Linked DNA regions of Macaca mulatta. The protein of the gene in region 2 binds, or shares a complex with, the protein of the main gene of each other region. Links are inferred from orthologs where the notes say so. Each region holds a gene or a part of one and is shown on either strand. Other genes may lie near its edges.

What was found.
Region 1: the proteins of AGT (region 2) and DPP3 are in contact, whole or in part, in a crystal structure (PDB 5E2Q), measured with the Homo sapiens proteins. The link is inferred for Macaca mulatta from reciprocal best matches to the Homo sapiens genes AGT and DPP3. Residues at the interface, in NP_001369746.2 of Homo sapiens: Asp25, Arg26, Val27, Tyr28, Ile29, His30, Pro31, Phe32; in NP_005691.2 of Homo sapiens: Phe109, Glu316, Tyr318, Glu329, Phe381, Gly385, Ile386, Pro387, Ala388, Gly389, Ile390, Asn391, Ile392, Asn394, Arg399, Val412, Leu413, Val415, Ala416, Phe443, Val447, His450, His455, Glu507, Glu508, Asn545, Arg548, Leu552, Glu555, Phe556.
Region 3: the proteins of AGT (region 2) and ANPEP are in contact, whole or in part, in a crystal structure (PDB 4FYS), measured with the Homo sapiens proteins. The link is inferred for Macaca mulatta from reciprocal best matches to the Homo sapiens genes AGT and ANPEP. Residues at the interface, in NP_001369746.2 of Homo sapiens: Val27, Tyr28, Ile29, His30, Pro31, Phe32; in NP_001141.2 of Homo sapiens: Gln211, Gln213, Ala351, Gly352, Ala353, Met354, Glu355, Arg381, Val385, His388, Glu389, His392, Glu411, Glu418, Asn438, Arg442, Phe472, Tyr477, Ile864, Phe896, Ser897, Asn900, Gln903, Ala904, Arg907.
Region 4: the proteins of AGT (region 2) and REN are in contact, whole or in part, in a crystal structure (PDB 6I3F), measured with the Homo sapiens proteins. The link is inferred for Macaca mulatta from reciprocal best matches to the Homo sapiens genes AGT and REN. Residues at the interface, in NP_001369746.2 of Homo sapiens: Asp25, Tyr28, Ile29, His30, Pro31, Phe32, His33, Leu34, Val35, Ile36, His37, Asn38, Glu39, Lys91, Leu92, Ala95, Met96, Met99, Leu100, Phe103, Arg107, Arg148, Ala151, Ile152, Gly154, Gln353, Gln354, Asn355, Asn358, Glu391; in NP_000528.1 of Homo sapiens: Tyr81, Met82, Thr84, Gln85, Val102, Asp104, Gly106, Ser107, Asn109, Ser118, Arg119, Leu120, Tyr121, Thr122, Val125, Tyr126, Leu147, Arg148, Tyr149, Ser150, Pro181, Ala182, Leu183, Pro184, Met186, Leu187, Ala188, Glu189, Phe190, Val193.

Annotation. Positions count from the first base shown.
Region 1 is NC_133419.1:7,923,747-7,927,686, forward strand, and holds part of DPP3 (dipeptidyl peptidase 3), read right to left. Parts: intron 2,640-3,940; coding exon 2,509-2,639; intron 2,397-2,508; coding exon 2,266-2,396; intron 2,193-2,265; coding exon 2,075-2,192; intron 1,215-2,074; coding exon 974-1,214; intron 817-973; coding exon 704-816; intron 343-703; coding exon 250-342; intron 1-249. UniProt on the Homo sapiens protein: Cleaves and degrades bioactive peptides, including angiotensin, Leu-enkephalin and Met-enkephalin. Also cleaves Arg-Arg-beta-naphthylamide (in vitro).
Region 2 is NC_133406.1:18,331,545-18,335,588, reverse strand, and holds the start of AGT (angiotensinogen), read right to left. Parts: upstream 2,801-4,044; 5' UTR 2,764-2,800; intron 1-2,763. UniProt on the Homo sapiens protein: Essential component of the renin-angiotensin system (RAS), a potent regulator of blood pressure, body fluid and electrolyte homeostasis.
Region 3 is NC_133412.1:79,602,049-79,605,988, forward strand, and holds part of ANPEP (aminopeptidase N), read right to left. Parts: intron 3,417-3,940; coding exon 3,276-3,416; intron 2,902-3,275; coding exon 2,820-2,901; intron 1-2,819. UniProt on the Homo sapiens protein: Broad specificity aminopeptidase which plays a role in the final digestion of peptides generated from hydrolysis of proteins by gastric and pancreatic proteases.
Region 4 is NC_133406.1:61,903,752-61,907,691, forward strand, and holds part of REN (renin), read right to left. Parts: intron 3,364-3,940; coding exon 3,175-3,363; intron 2,670-3,174; coding exon 2,515-2,669; intron 1,873-2,514; coding exon 1,754-1,872; intron 777-1,753; coding exon 580-776; intron 1-579. UniProt on the Homo sapiens protein: Renin is a highly specific endopeptidase, whose only known function is to generate angiotensin I from angiotensinogen in the plasma, initiating a cascade of reactions that produce an elevation of blood pressure and increased sodium retention by the kidney.

The DNA.
Region 1 (3,940 bases), on a different chromosome or scaffold from region 2:
TGGTGTGGGGAACAGCAGCTGAACTGTCCCAGAGGGCCCTCTACACCCCGGCTCTACACCAGGCCTCTGAGCTCCTGGGACATCTTGAGGAAGGGCAAGACAGGGTCTTCTCTGCTTAAGGGGCCGTTTTCCCCACCCAACCCACAGCCCCTGAGGGCAGAGGCTAGAGCAGCTTCACCACTGGGTAGGGCAGGTTGTGGGGAGTGGAGCTGTGGGCTGGGGTACCAGGGCTGGCCGCTGCCTTCTTACCTGTACGAAGAGCTTGCCGCTGCCATGGCCCAGCAGCTCGTGCAGGCCCACCTGCACATCGAAGGAGGGCCCCTTCCAGAGGATGTACAGATCCTGCCAAGACAAGCAGAGACCTGCGCTGTCCACTGGCCGGCCCTGGCCACAGAGCCTGTCGGCCTCCCCTCCCCCGGGCCATGGGCCCATCTCAGTGCATGTACTTGGTAAAGGCCGACTGTGCTCCACCCCACAGCCCATCTCATCCTTGCAACAACCCAGGAGGAAGGGAGGGATGCCCCCCTAGTGTGACCCGAGAAGAAACCGAGGCTCCAAAGTCCGCACGGTCATGTGGTTGGGAAGTGGCAGAGCCAGGATGGAAGCTGTGTGCTTTCCTCTCTACTGCTCTGGGCTGTCTGCCTTCCCGAGTCCGCTGAGGAAGGTGAGGCCCAGCCCCAACCCTCCAACTGCTGGCACCCACCTTGTCATCCTCCTCCAGAAAGGTGAGCTTCTCCCGCTGCGTGGCGTAGGCCACAGCCAGCACATTCCCCAGTGACACGTTCTTAAAGCCTTCCGTCTGCCTCAGGTCATCGTCTGGAGAAGGCGGAGGAGGACCAGGAAGAAGAGGCAAGGGTCAAAGGTCACAGACAAGAGGCACAGGGCAGTTTGTGGAGAGTGTGTGTGTGGAGAGGGAGGGGCGACTCTAAAAGGAGGCTTCTGGGGCTCGGGGGCTGGGCCTGCCAACACTTACAATTGGGGATGTTGATGCCAGCAGGGATGCCGGAGCCAGCAAAGGTGAGAACATCCAGGGAGGTGAAGTCGGGGGTGAGGAACTTGTCCTTCTCAAAGGCTGGGGGCCAGGGCAGCTCCTTCAGCAGCTGCTCTGCGCTCGCCACTAGCCGCTCAAACTTGGCACTCATGGCCTTGTTCACCACAGCTACGAAACCTGCAGGGGAGGGAGGGAGCTGTGGCTTGGCAGGGTTCCAGGAGGGCTCTCACTTCACCCTACTCCAGCCATCACGCATGTACTGAATGCCTACTGTATGCAGTCACCCTGGGCTGGCAGCTGGGGACAGCAGTGACCCAGGTCTGGGCCCTACTAGGTCAGGACCTGGACAGGAAAGCTGCAGCTGCACAAACCTGTCTTCCCCTCAGGCCCCTGGGCCGCCTGCCCCTTCTCCCTGGGCCTGGGTCTAGCGGCTCACCCCTGAGCCCCAACAGGCTGTGTGCTCTCCTCCCAGACTAATCTCTCCGGCTTTAACAGGCAGATGCTCAGACTCTTCTACATCCAGCGGCTGGGGAGGATTAGGGCAGCCAGAGAAGTGGCTGAATCCTCAGGCTGGATGCCCTGCCTTCCACAGGTGGGTCCCCTGGGGAAGGGGGTGGGGGCCGAGGCAGCCTGCCACCAGCCTGGGATGACAGCCCCAGGTCAGGTCCAGTCACAATGTCCATCCTGCTTCCAGCCACTGAGTGTAGCAGTCTGCATCCTAACCGCACTGGTGCTGAGGTCAGGCTATTTGGCCCAAGGTCACACAGCCTGGAAGTGGTGAAGCTAGGCTTGGGAGGCACATGTCTACCTGGAGCCTGTGCCCTGACCAGACACCAGAGGCAGCACAGCAAAGTAGCTCAGAGCCAGAGTTTCTGGGTCACCCCCCAACTGTGCCTCAGTGCTCACACCTGCTAAGTGAGGATAAACATCCTCATGGGGTGAACTCTAAATTAGTTAATATAGCTAAGCTTCTTACAACAGTGCCCAATACACTGTAAATGGTGTTTATTTACGATGGCTGTTGTTATTGTTATGGTTATGGCTGAGTGGGGGTGGGGAGAACCATCAGGGGACACTGGACACGTGGACTTGGATGTGGGGGAAGGGACTGTGACTGACCTCCTCCTCCCCGAGGAAGTTACCTTCAAATTCTCCTCGGGAACCAAAGGGGTCACGGTAGCTCTCGATGAACCCGATGTAACTGGGGGAGAGAAGGGCAGAGGTGGAGGAGGGGCGGGCAGGAGGGGGCGGGTGGGGTGGAGCTGGCGGCTCACCTCTCCACGATGGGGCCTTTGTCCTGGATCCAGAAGCGGGAGCCCCTCTTGTGGGCCTCGATGGAGCCCTGGGTGAAGCTCTCTATATACTGGGCCAGCATCTGCCCCTGGTGGCTGTTGGCTGCATACACCTGAGGTGAGCAGGAGTCGGTCAGCCTTGTGTGAGGTCAACCCACCTCCACACCAGCTTTGCTGCCCAGAGGGGTCCTCAGCCCGCACACCTCAGTCCCCAGCCAGTCCAACCTTGGCTTTCTCCAGCTGCTCCACCACCTTCTGGAGGATGGGCGCATAGTCCCCTCGGGTCACCTGGAAAGGGCTTCCCCGGAATTCATAGCTCTTCAGCTTGGAAGTCATCTCAGAGTCCAGGGAAGGCTCTGGGGAAAGAAGGTGTCACTCAGAGAAAAGGCCGGAGTAAGACACCTCCGTCAGCTTTTCCCCGTAGCACTCTTTCACTCTAAGATCTTCAATGGCTCCCTGTAGCCAACAGACATGAGTATAAACTCTCGTCTTCCAAAATATATATATCAGCCGGGCACGGTGGCTCACACCTGTAATCCCAGCACTTTGGGAGGCCGAGGCGGGCAGATCGCCTGAGGTCTGGAGTTCATGACCAGTCTGGCCAACATGGTGAAATCCCGTCTCTACTCAAAATACAAAATTAGCTGGGCGTGGTGGCAGGCACCTGTAATCCCAGCTACTCAAGAGGCTGAAGCAGGAAAATCGCTTGAAGCCAGGAGACACAGGTTGCAGTGAGCTGAGATCGCGCTGCTGCACTCCAGCCTGGGCAACAGAGAGAGACTCCAGCCCAAAAAAACAAACACAAAAATGAAAACAAAAAAACCCAAAAACTAAAAAACAAAAATATATGTATCACATAACATGTGCTTTCCATGTGTTAACTCCTTTAAGCCTCACTCTAACTCTGGGGGGAGGCAGAAATTATCATCTCCATTTCACTGATGGGAAACTAAGGCATCGAGAGCTTACGTGGACAGCAAGTAGCAGATTGGATTTAAAAAGACAGTCACATCCCAAACGTAATCAACAGTCCCACGGGGAGACAAGAGGGTGGCTGGGAAAAGGAGCTGTGACGATAGCAGAAGGGAGCTGGAGTGAAGTTGGGGGGGCTGGGCAGCCTTCCAGAAGCTGGAAAAGGCAAGTGGGGGCAGGTTCCTCCTGAGACTCCAAAATGAATGCGGCCCAGCCTTGCTTTTAGACTCTGGACCCCTGCAACTGTAATAAGTTCATGTTGTTTTGTGCCACTAAATTTGTGGCAATTTGTTACAGAAGCAATGGGATGTTTACACACTATTGTATTTTCCTTGTTGTCTCTGATCAATAAAATATACTTCAAGGCTATGTAAAAACAAACAAACGAGCAAAAACAGCCACAATATTTCCTGTCTTACACCTTTTTTTTTTTTTTTAATTTGAGATAGGATCTTGCAAGGTTGCCCAGCTGATCTCAGACTGCTGGGCTCAAGCGATCCTCCTGGCTCAGCCTCCTGAATAGCTGGGATTACAGGTATGAGCCATCATGTCCAGCTCAACTGTGACTTTGCCCATGGAGACATGGGATGTGTTCCCTCCTCCTGAAGCCAGGAAGGCTGTGACTTCAGCAGCAGGGACACCATGTGCTGAGGCCAGGTCACACAAGGTGAGCAGGCCTGGCTCT
Region 2 (4,044 bases):
GACAGCCATCTACAAGGCAAGGATAGAGGCCCCAGAGGAAACCAACTCTGCTGATGGCTTGCTCCCGGGCTTCTAGCTTCCAGAACTGTGAGATAATACATTTCTGTTGTTGAAGCCTCCCAGTCTGTGGTACTTATGGCAGCCCAAGCACACTAAGACATGCTCCTGCCTGCGGCTATAAGTTCTCTCCTAGAAAAACACATACGTGCCAATCAGTAGGTCTTTGCGGAGGCCTCCTAGACCCCTGAGATGCTCATTCAAGGGCCCTAGGGTGAGGGTTGGGAATGGTTTTCTCATCTCCTTGTGGTCCTAATATGCAGCCAGGATTGAGCACCACAGGCTCAACCCAAAGCCCAAGTATTTTCCACGTGTCTCAACCCCAAAACCAGCTCTCAACCATCCCTCCATAGTGCTATCCCCTGCAGAGCCCCAAAGGCATGCACACCTAGCATGGTTTGCCCACTGATACTTGGATTCCTTAGATTAAAACAATAAAAATTAAAAAAAAAAATTTCTCAGGTGGCTCTGATATGTAAGCAGGGTTTAGAACCCCTGCCTTAGACACGGATCCGGCACCATGTTCTCTCAAAGGCCTTGCCACTGGGCTTCAGCCTCAGCTGCTGCAAATGAAGACTACCCCGAGACCCCAGAAGACAAGGTTCTTGGGCTGGCCCTGCTAATTCATTTCATCTGACTCTTCCTGATTGACGGGATGAACGTTGATTCTATTGATTCATTCAATTCTAACAGTTTGTACCACATCTCACTCATTTCTTGTGGAGGGGGTATACTGCAATATCGTCACTGCTTAGCCTTTTCTGTCCCCCCAGGGCTACGCCAGGCTTCCTTGGAGCTGTAGCAGGTCATCACTGACTCGAGGCCACCTTGATGCCTAGATTTTTCTGCTTCACCTAAGCACACCCAGTCATTCTTCTTACATTAGCAGCTGGCTTCCCCCACCCAGACCGGTAACCAGCACCTGCCCTCAACACGGTGCAACTGCTGAAGTACCTGGTGTGTTTCGTTCTGCTTCAGTCATTCAAATGCCAAAGAGACTTTGACTTCTGACCTCAGCTACCGCCTCACCCCACTCCCCATGCGTTGACTCCATCCGCTGTTCTCAGGAAGAGCCACACGACATGGAAAAACAGAACAGAAAACTCTCTCTGCTGCTTGCAGGCCTGTCTGTGCAGAGAAGCCTGAGCCACCAGTTCTCACCTAATCTAGACAGTCACATCACATCAGGTCGTCAGGGGAAACCTGTGGGAACCGACTGCTGGGAAGTCCTGCCTGACAAGCGCCACCTGTTCGGGGTTTGGATGGCGCTGGTCGGTGCAGCCCACTCACTGTGCTGCTCCTGCGCAGGTACCATCTCCAGAGACGCAATTCCTTGGGCCATTTTTAAGGCAGAGACTGTCGTTTGTTCTCAGTTGTGATCTGCAGCTGCTCCCTAGGCTGTTTCCAGGTCTGCACCCAGCCGCGTCCTGGGAGTAATGGTGCTCTGGGGTGGCGGGCCTGACACCCTTGCCTGGAGCGCCCCTCCGCCTTCTCCCCTCCTGCCCCTGCCTCTTTGCCAGCACCTGCCCCTTCTATGTCTCCCTACTTCCCCCAGGCTGAATGCTACAGGTGAAGATGACGGCTCACGCTCCCGTGGTGCCTGTGATTTGCAGGGCATCGTTCTTATATCAACCCCTCTGACCTCATCATAGTCCTCACCTTCCCTGAGGTTTCCTTGGTGCCGTATTTCACCCTGCAGCTTTCCCCACCACACCGGGCACTCTCAACTCTCTCATCCGGCTCCCCTTTTCCCTCCTTATAACCCCTGTACCATGTAGTTACGCACTTGTGCTGTCCAGCGTCTTTGTCTGTTTGCCCTGACGTGAATGTGAGCCCCGGAGCAGGGTTCCCACTGCTATGTTTCCTAATACAGCCCACATTCCCAGGACAGTCCCCGGGACCTAATGCATCCTGGAGAAGTAGTTAATGAATTGGTTCCTGCTGTTTTCCAGAGGAACAAAGAGGTCCAGTGACTTGTGCAAAGTCACACAGCTGGGAAGAGACAGAACTAGGACTCAGAACCAGGCCCTCTGACTCTGTCATCCACAAGTTTAAGCACCAATCTACGCTGCCCTTGAATGAAATTGGAATCTGCCTTTTAGCTTATCCCAAAGCTTAGAAAGTACTTTCATGTTGTATTAGTTCTCTTCAGCTGCACCACAGCCCCTGAGAGAGGGAGCCCAGGCATCGTTACTAGTCCCATTTTATAGGTGAGCAAATCGAGGTTCAGAGAGATGGTGACCAGCCTGATGACACAGTCAGGGAATCTGTCTCGAGGGAGGGGTAGGGTGACCACTCTGGGGATCCCAGCTGGGGACTGACCGGGCCCAGCCCTTCCCTGTGGCCCCACTTCCTGTACAAGCCCTGCTGTTCCTCCTGATGGCAAGAGGACCTGGTGGACTCTTGACCATGATGACTCTGCTCCTGTGCCAGTCTGCTCCATCCCTGAGGACCCGAACTCTTCTCAGCCGAAGCAGGAAGACCTGACCATCTGGTCCTATTGCTAAGGAGGAGCAGCTCCTCCTGGGAGACCCCTGGGTGGGCACTGAGCGGAGAAAGCCTGCGTCCAGATGACTGGTCTTATGGGAGGGGAGAGATGCTTCAGCCATCACCAGTGCCCCTCCCGGCCTTTTCCCTCCGGCCCACAGCTCAGTTACGTCTGAGAGGGACAAGGCTGAGAAGGAGCTGAGGGGGCCCCCGGCTTACCTTCTGCTGTAGTACCCAGAACAATGGCAGCTTCTTCCCCTGGCCGCGTCATGAGGCCCTATTTATATCTGAGGGGTGGGGATGGAGCCGTTCCCAGGCTGCCTGTGCACAGGCTGGAGGGGGGTTACATCATGTGGCCAGACCACAGGCTGGCCAGAAAGACAGACGCCAGAAGGGACACTCACGCTGGGACCCCTTCCAGGAAGTCTTAGTGATCGATGCACAGTTTCACTGCTGAACAGAGTGAGCCGGTGCAGGGTCGAGTTACACATTTACCGAAGTTTGCAGGAGTGGGGGCCAAGGTTCCCAGAAACAGCAGCATCTCCCTGGGTGTGTGACAGCTTAAGGCCAACCGCCCAGACCTCCTGACCCAGCCCCGGGATGTGCCCCTAAGAGGCCACGGGGACATGCAGGCCGGAGGCGCGGAGGGCAGAGGGCAGGGGAGCGTCTCGCTCAGGCAACACGGGGGCCACTTCTGACCCTGCTGCCTGCTCATGGGATGTGTGACCTTCAGCTGCTCCCAACAGCCATTTGGCGCCTACCCTGTGCAAAGGCCTCTAATAGACACTGGGAAAAACACACGAGCAAGTGAAAAGTGCCTTCTGGTCGCTTCCAGTGTAGCTGGGGAGACTGTTAAACACCAACAGTAGCACAGCCAGATTAAAAGACACAAACGAAATGCCTTCAGGATGCAGAAAGCATTCACCTGTGCAAGCTGGCGAGGGGCGAGGGACAGATATCACTGGGCCTGCACCTGGAGGAGGAGCTGGTCTGACTTGGAAGCTGCAGAAGGGCTTTTCTGAGGCAGAGGCTTGAGTGACACTCACCAACAAGAGGGAGAGCATGGGGGGCACGTGTAGGGGAATACAAGCAGGCCCGGGTACTGGGCAGGAGGGCTGCAGGAGACAAGCCCTGGCCAAACGGCTGCTGCTGCCTGGCCACAGGTTCTCACAAGCTTATGCAGTCACTGTCCTATTTCCTGCTGAGCCTCCGGGACCAAGGACTTCAGGCCGCACTCTCAAGGAGCTGGGGTTGACACACATGCAGAAACCTGCTCCCCATCAAGATTGGGGGCCAGGTGCAGTGGCCCACATTTATAACCCAAGTACTCTGGAAAACTGAGGCAGGAAGATAGTTTGAGGCCAAGAGTTTGAGACCAGCTTAGGCAACATAGCAAGACCCCCATCTGTGCAAAAAATAAAACTAACTGGATATGGTGGTATGCACTGGTAGTCCTAGCTGCTTGGGAGGCTGGGGCAGGAGGATCACTTGAGCCCAGAA
Region 3 (3,940 bases), on a different chromosome or scaffold from region 2:
TGTAGACATAGAGCAATTAGAACCCTCATATGATACATTGCTAATAGTAATGGACAATGGTACCCTTGCTTTGGAAAACATTTTGTCAGTTTCTCAAAAAGTTTAAACACAGAGTAACCAAATGACCCAGCAATTCTTCTCCGAGGTGTATACCCAAGATAAATTGCCGGGCGCGGTGGCTCAAGCCTGTAATCCCAGCACTTTGGGAGGCCGAGACGGGCGGATCACGAGGTCAGGAGATCGAGACCATCCTGGGTAACACAGTGAAACCCCGTCTCTACTAAAAATACAAAAACTTAGCCGGGCGAGGTGGCAGGCGCCTGTAGTCCCAGCTACTCAGGAGGCTGAGGCAAGAGAATGGCGTGAACCCGGGAGGCGGAGCTTGCAGTGAGCTGAGATCCGGCCACTGCACTCCAGCCTGGATGACAGAGCAAGACTCCGTCTCAAAAAAAAAAAAAAAAAAAAAAGATAAATTAAAACATGTTTGTACAAAATTTGCATGTGAAGGTCCATGATATTCATAATAGCCAGAAGACTGAAACAACCCAAATGACCATCAATGATGAGCTGAAAACAAAATATGGTACATCCATGCAATGGAACATTATTCAGTCATAAAAAGGAATGATCCCTGCTACCATATGCATGAATCTTGAAAACATTATACTGGCCGGGCACGGTGGCTCAAGCCTGTAATCCCAGCACTTTGGGAGGCCGAGACGGGCGGATCACGAGGTCAGGAGATCAAGACCATCCTGGCTAACACGGTGAAACCCTGTCTCTACTAAAAAATACAAAAAACTAGCTGGGTGACGTGGTGGCGGGTGCCTGTAGTCCCAGCTACTCGGGAGGCTGAGGCAGGAGAATGGCGTAAACCCGGGAGGCAGAGCTTGCAGTGAGCTGAGATCCGGCCACTGCACTCCAGCCTGGGCGACAGAGCGAGACTCCGTCTCAAAAAAAAAAAAAAAAAAAAAAAGGAAAACATTATACTAAGTGAAAGAAGGCAGACAGACACAAAAAGGTCATGTATCTATGATTCCATTTTATGAAACATCCAGAATAGGTAATAAATCCATAGAGACAGAAAGTATATTAGTGGTTGCCAGGGGCTGAGGGGACCAGGTAGGAATGAGGAGTGACTGCTAATGAGTATGAGGTTTCTTTTTGGTGTAATGAAAATGTTCTGGAATTAGACAGTAGTGATGGTTGTACCACGTATTTTTTTGTTTGTTTGTTTGGTTGGTTGGTTTTGGTTTTTTGAGACAGGGTCTTGCTCTGTCGCCCAGGCTGGAATGCAGTGGCACCATCTCGGCTCACTGCAACCTCTGCCTTCCTGCTTCAAGCGATCCTCTCACCTCAGTCTCCCGAGTAGCTAGGACTGCAGGTATGCACCACCATGCCCAGCTAACTTTTGTATTTATTTATTTATTTATTTATTTATTTATTTAGAGATGAGGTCTTACGAGATTGCCCAGGCTGGTCTCAAACTCCTGGGTTCAAGGGATCCTCCTGCACTGGTCTCCCAAAGTGCTGGGATTACAGTCATGAAGCACCCCACCCACCCCACCTTGTTAGTACACTGAAAACCACTTAAAATGGTGAGTTTGATGGTTCATTAATTATATATCAATTTTTTTTTTTTTTTGAGACAGCGTCTCACTCTGTCACTGAGGTTGGAGTGCAGTGGCTCAATCTTGGTTCACTGCAACCTCTGCCTCCTGGGTTCAGGCAATTCTTCTGCCATAGCCTCCCAAGTAGCTGGGACTACAGGGACTCCCCCACCACACCCAGCTCATTTTTGTATTTTTAGTACAGACGGGGTTTCACCATGTTGGCCAAGCTGGTCTGGAACTCCTGACCTCAGATGATCCACCCACCTTAGCCTCCCAAAGTGCTGGGACTACAGGCGTGAGCCACCATGCCCAGTGAATTACATCTCAATTTTTAAAAAAGACAAACTAAATCCAAGTTGAGTTTGTCAAGCTTCTAATTCAAACATATATATCAATTGTAAAAAGACCTTTTATAAACAACTCAGAAAATTGAATATGGCTTGGGTATAAGATGATAGTAAGAAGATAGTTATTTTCCTGGGTTTGCTAAGGACAGTGTGATTATGTTTTAAGAATGCCTTTATTGCTGGGTGCAGTGGCTCATGCCTGTAATCTCAGCACTCTGGGAGGCTGAGGTGGGTGGATCACTTGAGGTCAGGAGTTCAAGACCAGCCTGGCCAACATGGTGAAACCCCGTCTCTACTGAAAATACAAAAAATAGCCAGATGTGGTGGCGCATGCTTGTAATCCCAGCTACTCGGGAAGCTGAGGCAGGAGAATTAATTGAACCTCGGAGGCGGAGGTTGCAGTGAGCAGAGATCGCACCACTGCACCACTCCAGCCTGCATGACAGAGTGAGACTCAGTCTCAAAAAAAAAAAAAAAAAAAAAAAGAATGCCTTTATTTTTCATAAGACTAAATTATTTAGAAGTAAAATTATATAGTGTCAGTGATTTGCTTTAAAATTGCCCACCCAGAAAGAGTACTGGCAAAATGTTGATAATTGTTGAACCTGGGTAATGGGTACACGGAGGTTCCTTATACCACTCTTTCCTTTTGTGCCTATACGAAAATCCCAAGATGAATTTTTTTTAAATTGAATTATCAACACTTCCAAAGTCTGGCTACTCGGCTTCCTCTGTAAATGAGGAAGGCCTGGCGGCGTGGAGCCTGTGCTCCCTCAGGGCCACAGTCGGGGAAGAATGCAGTGCCCTTTGGCCTGCGAAGGAAGTAGGCAGAGCCCAGGGCTGGGGAATGACTTCTTACCTGCTGCAGCTCATACTCGGTGGAGAATCGTCGTGTCACTGCCTGGATGAGGTTGGAGAAGGAGAACGAGCCACCACCATAACTGCAAGGAGGGAGAGAGGTGAACTGTGAGGGAGGCCGGGAACTAAGGAGGCTCATCCTCACACCTACTGGAGAGGGAGCCATGATTATAGAGGAGATGAAATGATATGCCCTGGAAGACCCCACTAGGACATGGGGGAGTCACAGCTTGAACACAGCTCTGACTGCCGAGTTCCTCACTCCCCTCTCTTTTTCCTTCCAAATGGGAAAAGGGACGGCCCGTACCCCAGCTTGTCTTTCCATTCCTGCCCCCACGCTTGGCTGATTTTTGTCCACTCCTGGGCAGTGCCCCCGGCGTGTCTTACGTGCACAGACCACCCCTTGGGGCCCCAGCCTCAGCGCTCGCTGTGCCTGACACCCACTCCACAGACTCACTCATTAAAGAGCTTCTTCCAATTGCTCTGGACAAAGTCCCAGACCAAACTTTGTCCGATGACATTGTTGGTAATGCTGATGATGGTAGAGGTGGCATCCTGCTTCCGGATTAAGTCGGGGTTCAGGGTGTAGCTCAGGTACCTAAGAGGGCCAGATGCTGAGTCAGCTACTGCTAATTTCATAAAGAGCACAACTTTTGAAAATCAACTGGATCAATAGGATGTATGCTATGATTTCCAGTTTTTAATGATAAATGTTTTTTGTGGCTTCAGGCCTTTCATCTTGAAAGATTTTATAATAGAATATAAAGTAACAGAGTAAAGGTGAAATGGCTATTAAAATGAATCAAGGCCGGGTGTGGTGGCTCACACCTGTAATCCCAGCACTTTGGGAGGCTGAGGCGGGCAGATCACGAGGTCAAGTGATCGAGACCACCATGGCCAACATGGTGAAATCCCGTCTCTACTAAAAATACAAAAAATTAGCTAGGCGCGGTCGCATGCTCCTGTATTCCCAGGAGGCTAAGGGTGGAGTATCACTTGAACCCAGGAGGCAGAGTTTGCAGTGAGCTGAGATTGCACCACTGAACCCCAGCCTGGCGACAGGGTGAGACTCCGCCTCAAAAAAAAAAAAAAAAGAATCAAAACTCATCATTTTTGAAAAAT
Region 4 (3,940 bases), about 44 Mb from region 2:
GGGTAGGGGAGTACAGATTCTGCCTTGTTCACTGTGTTCACTGCTGCACCCCCAGAGCCTCGCACAGTGCTTGGCACATAGCATTTACTGAACTGATGAGTGGGCAAACAAATGAAGGATCTAATGGATGACTGAAGTTGGCTGTCTCTGTGTGGGAGGAGCCATGGCCCTCACAGGCAGGGCTCCAGGTCACAGTAATCCCTTATTTCCCATCATCCCCACCTTGCATCTCCTCTTGCTCCAGAGTGGTACTGTCTATTAGAATGTCCTGCCAAGCTGGGAATGTTCTCTATCTGCACTGTCCAAAACCGTAGTTACTAGCCACCGCGGCTGCCAGACATTTGACACGTGGCTAGTGCAACTAAGAGCCACCAGTTGAATGCTTAATTGATGCTTAACTGTATTGAATTAATTTAAATTTCAATGGTGCCTTCCACATTGGCTAGTACAGCTCTAGATATTGATTGACGGTCATCTAATCACAAACGCTTAACAATTCTGGCCCAGGCTCTCCTTCCACTCCCCAGCTCTTCTCCCCTCCTCTCCCCCCACCTCAGCCCCTGGAGTCCCAGTCCCCACCTGTTGTAGTAGAAAGAGAAGACGTCCTCTTTTAGCACCCCTTGGGAGAGGATGTTGTCGAAGATAGGGGTGACCCTGCCAATGGCCTGTTCAATGAAGCCCATGCCCACAACCCCATCAAACTCGGCCAGCATGAAGGGTAAGGCAGGCATCTCCGTGACCTCTCCAAACATCTGTGTCACTGTGATTCCACCCACCTGTGGGAGGAAGGACCAGAGGAGACCAAGCCCACTGCCTGCTCCTTGGCTGGAGTCTGGTCTGGGCTTCCACACTAGGGATCCCAGGGCCACACAGGCTTCAGGGTACAGAATTTGGGGTAAGAGTGTTTCCTCAACTCTGCATGCACACACTCTGTGTACGCCAATGTGTATGCCAATACGTCTGTGCCACAGAGCCGAGAGAGAGCTGGAGTTGACCAGGGATTGGACAGCAGAGGCTGAGAGGGTGGTCCTGCCAAGCAGCAAAAGGAAAGCTGCCAAGAGCGCCTCCCCCTCCCCAGTGGCCCGCCTTTCGTGCCCGGCAGGACTAGGTCTTGGCCCCCACGCTTATCATGGGCGAGGGTTTCTTCAGCACAGCCAACCTTGCCCTTCTCCCTTCTTTATATCTGAGTTCACAGAAAAAGGGAGGGAGGCAGGAATCACCCTGATTTTCTGTCAGGCCCCATGTGTGCCCCCCCCCTAACTCTGATGGAGCAGGGCCTGAGAAACTCCAGAATGAGGAAAGGGTCAGACACGGGCCAAATAAAAAAAAAAGCAGGACTTGACCTGAATCCCAGAGTCAACCTCAACTGTGACCTTAAAACCTATGCCTGACCCTAAAACTCAGCCTGACCCTGACCCTGGATTTTAGTCTAGGGTGTAGCCCAGTCAGAGCTGGTGAACTTGGGCAAGTTACTTGACTGCAGCCATGGGGCTCACGACAACCCTACGTGCAAGTCAGATGCAAAAACGTCCATAAACCACCCAACAGTTAAGCCCGTAGCCCAAGCTTGCTCCCCCATAGGTACTGCTGCTTTGCAGCAACAGCCAGATGTGGCAGAGCAGGGTGCTCCTCAGCTCCCCAGGCTCCAAGTGGGCTACAGTGCACCTCCCCGCAGGTATGGCCCCTGGAGGGTCAGGAGAGGCCTGGGGACAGAAGGGGTTGGGAGCAGATGACCTAGGGCAACCCCACTTACGGTGATGATGTCCTGGCTCAGAAAGCCACTGACTGTCCCTGTTGAATAGCGGAGGGTGAGTTCCGTTCCATTGTGCTTGTAGCTGGAGGAATCCGAAGCATCGAAGAGCTTGTGATACACTGGCAGGGGGACAGAGGCTTAGGTTTGTCCAAGAGTGGCCCAGACAGGGGGACTCAGAGGCAGGGTGCATTGTGGGTATGGCTGGTGTGGCTTAGGACTTAGCTTAGGTACAGGGACGAGTGACTCTAGGGTCAGGAGGCTTGGAATATGTGCTTCATCAATCAAGGACTGGGTTTCTTGGGCCCCCCTAATGTGCCCATACCTCGATAATTTTGTCCTAAATGAAGGAATGTAAAGTAATCACTAACACTGATAACACCAGAGAAGATGCTGGGCACAGAGTAAGTGCCCAGTAAGAGGTTGTTGATTAAGACTAGGGATGGAAGAGTTCCGAGTGCCTGGGATGGGTTTGAGAATTCAGTCCTGTCTCAATCTCAGGAAGACTGGGAAGTAGCCTTCTGGGTGGTCAGGGATTCTTGGAGCTTTCTTTTTTTTTTTTTTTAAAAAACCTTGGTGGCTATATCAGAAAAATGGGAGACATCTTCCTCTCTCCCTTAAGTGTCAGGGTCAGTGGGTACAGAGGCAGAGAGGAAGGCACTCTCTTGGTGGCAAGAGGGATGGGAGCTAGGTGTGGGGCAGGATTGCTCATGCACAGTAGGGCAGGGGGATTGGGGAGAGGCACTGTGGGTCTTAGATCTCACCACAGGCAGTGTAGAGACGGCTGCACTTGGAGGAGGGCACCCAAACGTTGGACGAACCAGTGTCAAAGACGACTTTGAAGGTCTGGGGTGGGGTGCCGATGCCAATCTCGCCATAGTACTGGGTCTGTGGGGGTAAAAAGAGAGGGCTGGAGGGGCTCAGGGTCTTGGGGTCTTGTCTGGCTTCACTCTTGGCTGTCAGGGTAAGATTTCGCCCAGGTGAGGTCCTATAGCCTCTCGGGGTTTCTGCTGTCCTGCAGGAACTGGTAGGAGGCTTAGCATCGCCCCATGGCATCCCAGAAAGTGGGAATCTCAGTAAGACAAAATGGCGAAATCAAAACATTGAGAATGAAGCAGGATGCGAACTTGACCCTTGAGAATCTACTGGGGCAGGAAGCCGTCAGACTGTGCTGGACCAGGTCACAGAAACCCCCACCTGAGTCACACACCCCTTCCCACCCACCTGTGACACCTGGCTTAAGGCCTGGGCTGAGTTCCAAACCTAACCCTGCCCCTGAATGGCCCCTGAGTGCTTTCCTGTCTTCTGTGCTCAGGCTTTCCAACCAGAAAATGGGAATGTTCCTCAGCGCCTTCGTCAAACACAGCATAGGAAGGGAGAGTCTTGTGGCAAAGAAAGCCCTAGGTCCGTGGGGGAAAGGAGACAGGGAGGGAGGGAGCGAGGGGCTGGGCCAGGCACTCACATCCATGTAGTTGGTGAGGATCACGGAGGAGGTGGTGTTGCCAAGGGCCAGCCTCTTCATGGGCTGGCTCCACTCGGGACCAAGTCTGGCCATGTCCACACCTCGTTCCTTCAGGCTTTCTCGGATTGAGGGCATCCTCTTGAGGAAGATCCTGGCTCATGGTGGAGGAAGCAAAAATAGAAAAGTGCTGTACCCCCACCATAACGGTAGAGTCCCTGAGGCCAAATCCCTGCTTTTAGTACAACCACCTTTAATGTTAGCCCAGTCACCTGGAAATCACCTCTGTCCCTGAAGGCCTCTGGAGCATTTATAAGAGTTACCTCTTGTCAAGAGTCAATTTAGAGGAGTCAGCTGCCCGCGGATTAAATAACCCTGAAGTGACTTCCTTCTGTTGCCTAATTTTAATTAGACAAGGCTGTTTGTTTATTGGTCCGTTCATTCATTTATTCCATAATCACCTGCTGAACAACTACTTTGTGCCTCACTGTGCTGGAAACTGGAGCTAGAAAGATAACGATCATGACTGCTTTTAAGGAACTCCAGCTGGCAGGAGGACAGACGGGAAATAGGCACAGACATTCCCTCTGAAGAGATGAATGCCAGGGAGTGCCCCTGTCAAAACTAGGGGCTGGTGGGGAGACAGTGCCATGGGAGGCCACTAGGTGGCAGCAGATGCCCACAGCAGCTGCAAGGTCTCCAGGACACCAGGGGACAGGCACCCAACCAGG